Linked DNA regions of Oryza sativa Japonica Group. The protein of the gene in region 1 binds, or shares a complex with, the protein of each later gene. Links are inferred from orthologs where the notes say so. Each region holds a gene or a part of one and is shown in the gene's direction. Other genes may lie near its edges.

Evidence for each region.
Region 2: light-mediated development protein DET1 (region 1) and constitutive photomorphogenesis protein 10 share a complex: the UniProt entries of both Arabidopsis thaliana proteins name them as parts of the CDD complex. The link is inferred for Oryza sativa Japonica Group from reciprocal best matches to the Arabidopsis thaliana genes DET1 and FUS9.

Annotation. Positions count from the first base shown.
Region 1 is NC_089035.1:257,892-262,223, reverse strand, and holds the start of light-mediated development protein DET1, read left to right. Parts: upstream 1-1,239; 5' UTR 1,240-1,372; coding exon 1,373-1,453; intron 1,454-1,715; coding exon 1,716-2,140; intron 2,141-2,260; coding exon 2,261-2,489; intron 2,490-4,332. UniProt on the Arabidopsis thaliana protein: Component of light signal transduction machinery. Involved in repression of photomorphogenesis in darkness by participating in the CDD complex, a complex probably required to regulate the activity of ubiquitin conjugating enzymes (E2s).
Region 2 is NC_089041.1:23,577,223-23,581,808, forward strand, and holds the start of constitutive photomorphogenesis protein 10, read left to right. Parts: upstream 1-1,638; 5' UTR 1,639-1,759; coding exon 1,760-2,048; intron 2,049-2,258; coding exon 2,259-2,332; intron 2,333-4,105; coding exon 4,106-4,253; intron 4,254-4,408; coding exon 4,409-4,506; 3' UTR 4,507-4,586. Other genes in the region: glucan endo-1,3-beta-glucosidase 4, read left to right, coding at 350-377, 466-595. UniProt on the Arabidopsis thaliana protein: Component of light signal transduction machinery. Involved in repression of photomorphogenesis in darkness by participating in the CDD complex, a complex probably required to regulate the activity of ubiquitin conjugating enzymes (E2s).

The DNA of each region.
Region 1 (4,332 bases):
TTGCTTCCCAACACGAAGAGTGCACACGGAAACGGAACAGGCAATTGGCACGTGATTAATTAAGTATTAGCTATTTTTTTTTCAAAAATTAATCAAATATGATTTTTTAAGCAACTTTCATATATAATATTTTTATAAAACACACACCATTTAGCAGTTTGAAAGTGTACGTACGGAAAACGAGAGGGGAGAGTTGGGAATCGGCTGGAACGAATGCAGCCTTATTGTTGTGTTAGCCACACTCGCAAAAAATTAAAAAAAAATGAAATTTAATTTTAGAAGTTTTGTTTATCGCAATTTATTTTACTAAAATGGCTTTCAAACGGCAAACAACAAAATACTACTCCCTCCATCCCAAAATATAAGCATTTTTAGCATAGTAACATGTCAAACATTTTTAACTTTAGCCATTAATAGCAAAATAAAAAGGTCAATCATGTAAACAAATTATCATAATATACAACTCTTTTATTTAAAATATCTTATTTTTATAAATATTAGTGATCAAAATAGTATCTCAGAGACCATTGCCAGGATCTATAAATGGTTATATTTTAGGACGGAGATAGTATATAGTAATAAAATATTTTATTTTGGGCTGAATCGTTTTTTTTGTTGGTGTGCTTTGAATGCACAAGGCATGTCCCGGTGGTGCTCGCAGTTGCAGTTGCTTCGCTTTGGTTCTCCCAAAAAATTGAGCACCACAAATAGGGGTGCGCTCGGCTCGTGGTCGGCTCGTTGAGAAAAGCTAACGAGCTGAGCCAAGGGTTTAGCTCGAGCTGGCTCGCAAGCTGCTCACGAGGCCAACGAGCCAGAGAAACACCAGGACCAGGAGTCCACTCCGAGCCGGGCTACCTAACCAGAAAAGCCCATTAGTGGCCCAATAGCCTATTTCCTTGAGTAAACAAACCCTAGAATCCCTAATTCACAGAGAAGAGGCACGCAGACAGTAAGGAACACAGGCGCCGCGGCCACAACCCACACGCGAACCGGCGAACACGAGCGAGAGTGCGAGAGCGAGACGCATCCTGCCACCACCGGCGACCAAGGCCCGCAGCGAGCCGGTCGCACGGTGGCACCTCGCGTCCTCGGCCCCTCCTCCTCGCCATCCGCCCATCCCTCGTCGGTCGCGGCCTCCCCGAACGAGCTGGCTCCGAGCCGAGCCAGCTCGGTACACTAACGAGCTGGAGCGAGCCGAGCCGAGCCAAGATATCCACCCCTAGTGTGGCCACAAACAACAAGAGAGAGCAGACACCACCACACCATCCAACCAACCAAATTCCTCTCTCCTCCGCCGCGCCCGCGCCGCAGCAAGCAGGAGGGCCTCCGCCCGTGCGATGCCGGCGGCGGCTAGGCTACGGGCGGCCCGGTGATGGCGACCTTCTTCCGCAGCGCCAACCTCGCCTCCAGGGTCTTCGACCGCCAGTTCCTCTCCCCACGCCCCGGCGCTACTGTACGCCCACCGCCCCCCATTCCTTTCTCTTTCTACGGACTATATATTGACTAGTATTCCTTTCTTATTTGCTGCCTTCCTTTCTTATTGAGTATATGCCTGACCTACCTACCCACATAGAATTTCCCTTTTCTCGCTTCAACAATTGTCAATTCACTATTATCATCGTCACACGTCTCGACTACTAGTTCGCATCGCGCACTGTCTATTCAATTATACTAGCAGATTTCATCATCTTCTTTTTTCCCCCTCTTGTTGACAGGTTAACACTGTTAGACAGTTCTATGAGAACTTGGTTCCGAGTTACACTATATGTGACATAGATTGCCCAGATTATTCATTTCGTAAATTCACTGATGATGGCAACTATCTTGTGGCTTTTAGCCGGAACCACCAAGATTTAATCGTGTACCGTCCCATCTGGCCAACATTTTCATGCAATGAGCCATGCGACTCTCATGATCTTCCACCCAAAGCAAAGAAATTCGACAGCTTCTTTAAGCAGCTCTACTCAATTTCACTTGCATCTAGCAATGAATACATCTGCAAGGACTTTTTCCTTTACATGGAGTGCCATCAGTTTGGCTTATTTGCCACATCAACTGCACAAAGCAACGATTCAAGTGCCACTGAGGGTGCTATTCATGGGGTACCATCAATTGAGAAAATTACTTTCTATCTTGTCAGGTACAATCATCTTGTTTCGCTAGGAATGCACTTTTAGTTGTCCGTTATGATGTCTATGTATTATAACCATCCTTTCCTTTCGTTTGAATGGTTCTCGACTTCTATATTTCTCTTGTTCAGGCTAGACGATGGCGCAATACTAGATGAGAAAGCTTTCCGCAATGATTTTATCAATCTGGCTCATAGTATTGGAGCTTACTTGTATGAGGACCTGCTATGCATTGTCTCTCTTCGATATCAAACAATTCATGTCCTACAGATACGAGATTCAGGCAACCTTGTTGAAGTACGCAAAATTGGTGCATTTTGCCAGGAAGATGATGAGCTATTTCTCCATTCACATGGTCAGGTACCTACTGATCCCTACGGCAAGATTGCTGGATCTATATTTAGTTTACATCATAGTTGGTACTGGTCATGTATTACCTGTCTAATCAAATTGGTGTTGATTGCACTGGAACCATGGGCATTCATAGTTCAAATAATAGTAACTAGAAAGAAGCACGCGCTACGCTGCGTGTGATCTAACAATTACTGTTTGCACTTAAAACAAAAATCATCTTTCACCATACTTCGTACTTTTCTTTGCTCTGCCATCCAAGCATGCTCTGTAATATGATCAAATTGTAAATAAAAAAACTAAATTGCATCATTAAGGTAAAATATGGTATAAATTTATCTTGCTTCCCCCAAAAGATAGATATCACCGTAACATCTGAACTTAACATGTTCACCAATCCTCGATAATGCAAAGGGTAAAGAATAGAAGATATCTTTGCATTGATCCAATTCAAGATTATTCAAAATTGACTTCAGAGTCAGGATAACACATTAGTTACACTGACCAGATATAATCTGATATTTGAGATTTATTTGATTGAGGAATTTTTTTCATAAAAAAGAATTAGTAGCTATGGCCAGTAAAGATCCAACCACCAGCTTGCAGGTGCTTGAGATGTACTGCACGCTTGCTGATCCCTATCACCATCTACAATGATAATAATAAGAGCAATCCATGAGAATTGGTCTAGACAGTTTTTACAATAGAAGGTAAATATGCCCACAAAATATATAGAGAAGTTGGTAAGGGAAGCATGACTAACTCAAAAAACTAAAATATGTATGGCTGTGAAGTAGGGAGAAATGGTGTTTCCATACGACTTAACTAAAATGCCTCATTTGTATCACAAAGAACTAAACTGCATTGTAATAATTAACCTAGTGAAAACTTAATATGTGGTAGAAAAATAACAGATCATGTAGTTAGTGAAATATGGCTATCGTTCCATATTGAGAAGGAAATTATTGCTCAGGTAAGTGGTCATGCAATCCAAGATATACCATATAAGCCTCTATCATCTTAGTGTGCTTGGTTCTTCAACTGATAGCTTCGTTCATTATTTTTTTTCATGAGCTGAGGACAATGGGTTGCCCCTCTCAACAAAAGTAGGAGTTTTGTTTTGCAAGAAGGATCTGTCACCTTGCTTGTCTCAAGATAAAGAACAACTAAGACATAAATATAAATCATGGATGCTGTATACAAAAGAACAATTTTCATGAACTCCTATCCAAAAAGTAAGTACACTTGCTATAACAATAGGATATTTTGTAAAGAAATAGGAAGAACATGGAGCCGATGGCAACTATATTAGTGGTACATGCGCTCATGTGTAATCAAGGAAAACTAATGTATATAGACAACCCATCATAGAATGAAGAAGCGCATCTAGAATTTCTCATAGGATCTCTTTAAAAAAAATCAAAACTGAAAACACGTTGCAGAACCTTTCATGTGGGTCTGAACTTATCCCACAATCATTTATGAATATTCTTCATTTGTATCTTGTACATATAAATTGGAAGACCTACAAACTATAACTGTCACTTTGTCAGATAGGTTGTTGCTTTCTCATAGGTGGGACAGAGCATATACTTGACATTTGACATCATGATGAATTAAGCCTAAATCATTTTGCTGAAATAGAATAGAACATTGCTCTGGAAGTTTGGATACCTCAATATAATTCAAATGCAAGCATCAGCAGTTGCTGAAAGTGAGATGTCTTGTTCATTTTCCAAAATGATGGTCATTCAACAGTTTGTCGATGAGATAAACATTGCATGATTGTAATATTCTGCAAATTAAAAACATGATGAACCAAAACTTAGTTGATTTGAAAATTTAATATGAC
Region 2 (4,586 bases), on another chromosome or scaffold:
ATTGAACGCCAGTAAACACCTTGGAGCTGCAAACAAGGTTATAATTGAACATGTTTGAGTTTGTGTATGTCTGACATGGACCTCTGATTACATAGGAATGGTAAGCGAGAAAATTTGAAGAAACCTTAGACTTTAGATATCTGATCATGCTAATATAAAATGTGTTTACCACTAGTTAAATGCATGATCACATCCTGAAGTTTCATGCATTTTCTTATAGAAGGCATCCTGAAGTTTTTTTAGTGTGTTCAAAGAGATCAAGAATATTTACTGTTAGATTGGACCGGGTGATTACTTATTTTCCCTGTTTGATGAGCCTAATACAATTTCCCTGGATCAAAATATGCAGGCCATGGTTCATGCATTTTTGCAGGAAGGTGAGTCCTTTCTCGATATTTTTGTGCTAACGGTTCTACATTTTTTTTTTGGCTCTACGTCCTGATGCAGTGTTGGTTCTTCTTGCAGCACTGGCTCCAATGGCAGCAACGGTGGTGCGGCGTCTGGGCCCGTAAGCCCAGACAATTTTGCTACACAAATTCACTCGTGCTGGTTGACTCACCTAATTACATTGCTGTCTATCATGGTGTTCATGTAAAACCCTGTAAAAAAATGATGCGTTTTGGATGAGATGCCCGAAATTTATTGTGGATCTTGTCAGTAGGAGTGTAGGAGGCCATATTTGTCTTAGATGTATTGAGGTTAGATGGCATGTGTTTCTCAAAATTCGTTGACCTAGAGAAAGGAGTCAAATACATCAATTTTGAATGCCAGGCTGGGAGTATTGAATTGTGGAAACCTTCTTTTCTGAAATGTTTGTATGACTCAAAAAGTGTTTTGTGCTCCCTGCATATCGCTTCAGTACTGAAACTGTCACTCTTGTTGAGTAACAGTGTTTTTCTCTCAGACTCACTAATATTTTTTTTCTTCTAAATTTATACTCTTGTTGAGTACTACATGTTTGTTAAGTTTTTTTTTTGGTCTCATGTAGCAGATGCAAAAATGTCTGGCCTGGTTTGTACAATGAAGAATTAAGTCCTACATAAAAATTTCTACGTTCTAAAGCAGTCCATATGTTACAGTTACATGGCACCGAAATTTATTTATGGTTTTTCAGGGTTGGATTTATGTGTGGTCAGTTTAAAATTTGAGTACTTGGTCGCTTTTGGCCCATTATTACTGGCAATACTGGAACAGCAAAAATGGATTTATAAGAGTATATGTGGAGCTATCAGGCTGTCACGCAGAATAAAAGCACGTCTCAAATCAGTTTCTCTCAAATTTTAGTTTTCATATTTTGTACTCCCGTCTAAAAAAACCACTGTAGGTGGCGATTTAACTCCACATAAAATTTCTGAACATATGTTGCAAATTCTCCTCTAGTTTGGTTTTTAAGATGGATAGAGTAATTTATATTGAAATGCAATTACTTCCTCCGTTTCACCTCCGTTTCACAATGTGAATGTGAGAAATGCTAGAATGACTTATATTGTGAAACAGACATCAATATGAATATGAGAAATGCTAGAATGACTTATGTTGTGAAATGGAGGGAGTAGTATTTTACACTGAACATCACAACAATTATGAAAAATAAATAAATAAATTCGCACCTCCCCTCATCGTCCCGTCACTCCCTCTAACCTTTCCCCTCTCCGCCGCTCTCCCCCCACTCCGGCGTCGCTCTCCATCCCCCCACCACCGCCGGCGGCGCCGCTCCCCCTCACCCCCAAGGCCAAGTCGTAAGCCAGCCGTCGAGGCCATGTCGTCGTCTTCCTCCTCCTTCCCGACCTCTCGCTCCCCTTTCCCCGCCGGCGCCGGCGCCGGCACCAGCGGGGGCGGAGGAGGAGGAGGAGGGGGCTCCGGCGGCGGAGGTGGGGGTGGAAGATGGAGCGGCGTGCGCCCCTGGGGCTCCAGCGGCGGCACGTCGGTGTCGTCGTCGGGGAAGCGGATTCAGAAGGAGCTGATGGACCTCAACGCCTCCGACTGCTCCGCCGGCCCTAAGGGCGACAACCTCTACCACTGGCTCTCCACCATCATCGGACCTCAGGGTATCATCGCCCTTCCCCCTCTCCGCTTACTCCCCCCTGCTAGCAGCAGCCGATAAAGCTCGTGCGAATTTTACTGCGGCTCTGCGAATTTCACTAGTTGAAATCGCGGTTTTTTTTTTTTCAAGTTTGGAATTAGGGTGTGGAGTGTAGAGTGAACTAGTCTTATGACCACCTTCACTTTGCTGATCTAATGCAGTGCTCATCTTGTAGGATCTCCGTATGAAGGAGGGATATTTTTCCTCGATATTGTATTCCCAATTGACTATCCGTTTAAACCTCCCATGGTAAGAACTAAGAATTAGCTTCTTTTTTTTTTTTCTGTTTGCTTAAATGGGCTGTTGGTTATGAGGTGTCTGGCTTTCTACGAGATCATATAGAAGCTTAAGTTGTAACTTGACATTTTCTCTCCTTGTCTGTGTGCATTCTACCTAATGCTGTGATTCATGAGTGATCATATCGCTGTTATTGGAACAAATATCTAGAATAAATATGGCATTCCCTTCAGTAACTATTGATAGACGACTATTGATTTACCGCGTGGAAGTGTGGTTAAGGTAACATGGGAAATGCTTGCATCCAAAGAAATGTTTTTAAGAGACATGCGCATGTCTAAAATCTTGAAGAAGTGGAATAGAAATTCAAATAGGATGGATAATTGGTTGGGATAATATTGTTGTATAGCTAGTTCTACTTCACTATGTGAACAGGGTATTACAAAAGTGATGAACATTGGTATGTTTAGTAAATGCATAGGGTATTTTGTTTCAAAAGTCTACCTTCACCGGACTTCTTTTAGTTTCTTCAAAATAAGTGTATGATCTATGCATTTTAGCCTGGAAGGGGTTTGAAAATGTGTCGAGTTGTCTGCAAGGATTAAGATTCATCCTAAAATGGAATATCTCATGAATCTTTTTGGGGACAAGGAATGCTTCTGTTCAAGGGCTAACTCAGCAAACAGTGTGATGATTAGAAGGGCATAGATAACAAAAGAGATTATGTTAAAGCTAGTTTATTTTGTTATTAATTAAAGCGACCTGCGTTCTTTTTAAGGTAAGCACCATTTACCTCTTTTCAATATGATCTTGATTATTTATGAAGAAAACTTATCTGAAGTCTGTTTTATGCTTAGTGTTCAAGAAAATAACTGCGCAGAGTTTCTAAAATGTTGTTTTCCTAGACATCCCCTGTTTTGGTTGATAGTGCTGTGTTAAAATTTTACAGAGAAAGGTTTTGTCCATTGGAAGCCTAATGTGCTTGGGCATCACCTTCATCCTATGTCAATATACTATTTGCATAGTAGTCTGGTAAAAAAATGAGCCTTCTAAATGCAGATTTTTGGTCCATTTAGTGTTGACATTGACTAATCAGTATACACCTGCTGGCTGTAGCCTACACAGCCCTACATGATCACCTGCTTCATGGTTTGTTGGTTGCTAAGACAGTAAGACTGTTACTGTCTTTGCCCAGCTATTACCATCAACTTATAATTCCTTGATGGGAGGTAGGATATGAAGGATCCGAACAACCAACCTCCATTTCTGCTCTTCAGTATTTGATGGAGCATCTGGAATTCTCCCCCATTCTCTAGATAGCAGTGCTGGAAGCCTAGGGCAATGCTAGGACTGATTTGACCTAACACACAGCCCTGCAGTGGTCTACCTTTTACCTTAACCAGCACATGGAACCATGCAAACATCAATACAGTCCAACATGGCAATCATATTAATTCTGCTAATGCTACACTCCATATAATTTGGCAATAGTAAGTGAATTTCTCAAGTTTTTGTAGAGTGGATAGCACACTCATAATACAGAGGAAATACACATGGGCTGGCAATTGTGGCTTGATTTGATGTTTCAGTAATTAATAATATGGAAGGTAATACACTCTTCCAGTTGAACATGCTAAAATTTCAATATTGAAGGAACAGCAATTTCAATGTTTATATAGAAGTATGAAACAATTGAGATCCACTGCTGTAATTTTATCCGATATTTCGGTATTAGGGGACCTCAATTCGTGGTTACAAGTTATAACTGTTCTGTCACTGTGCTAGGTAACTTTCAAGACAAGGATTTATCACTGCAATGTTGACTCCACTGGTAACTTGAGTATGGACATTTTAAGGGAAGGATGGAGTCCTGCTTTAACTATTTCAAAGGTGCTACTTGCCATTAAAGCCATCATAACAAACCCAGATCCATGTAAGTTCCAAGTTACAGTATGATCACAATTGTTCTGTTTCTGCACTATCTTCCATGATAAAACATGCAGTCCTGTTTAAACTATGTAATATACACATAATTTTTGCTTCATTTCATCTTGATAACTTCATATTATGATTGTTTTTTCCGTGCAGACTGCCCACTTGTGCCGAGCATTGGACATTTATACTTGACTGATAGAACTAAGCATGATGAAATAGCTGCGGAGTGGACGATGAGGTTTGCAAGATAGGGAGTTCCATCTGCAGCTAAGCAAGATCACTAACTCCGTAAATGAATATATTTGGTGTACCCTGAGATGTACAATGTTGG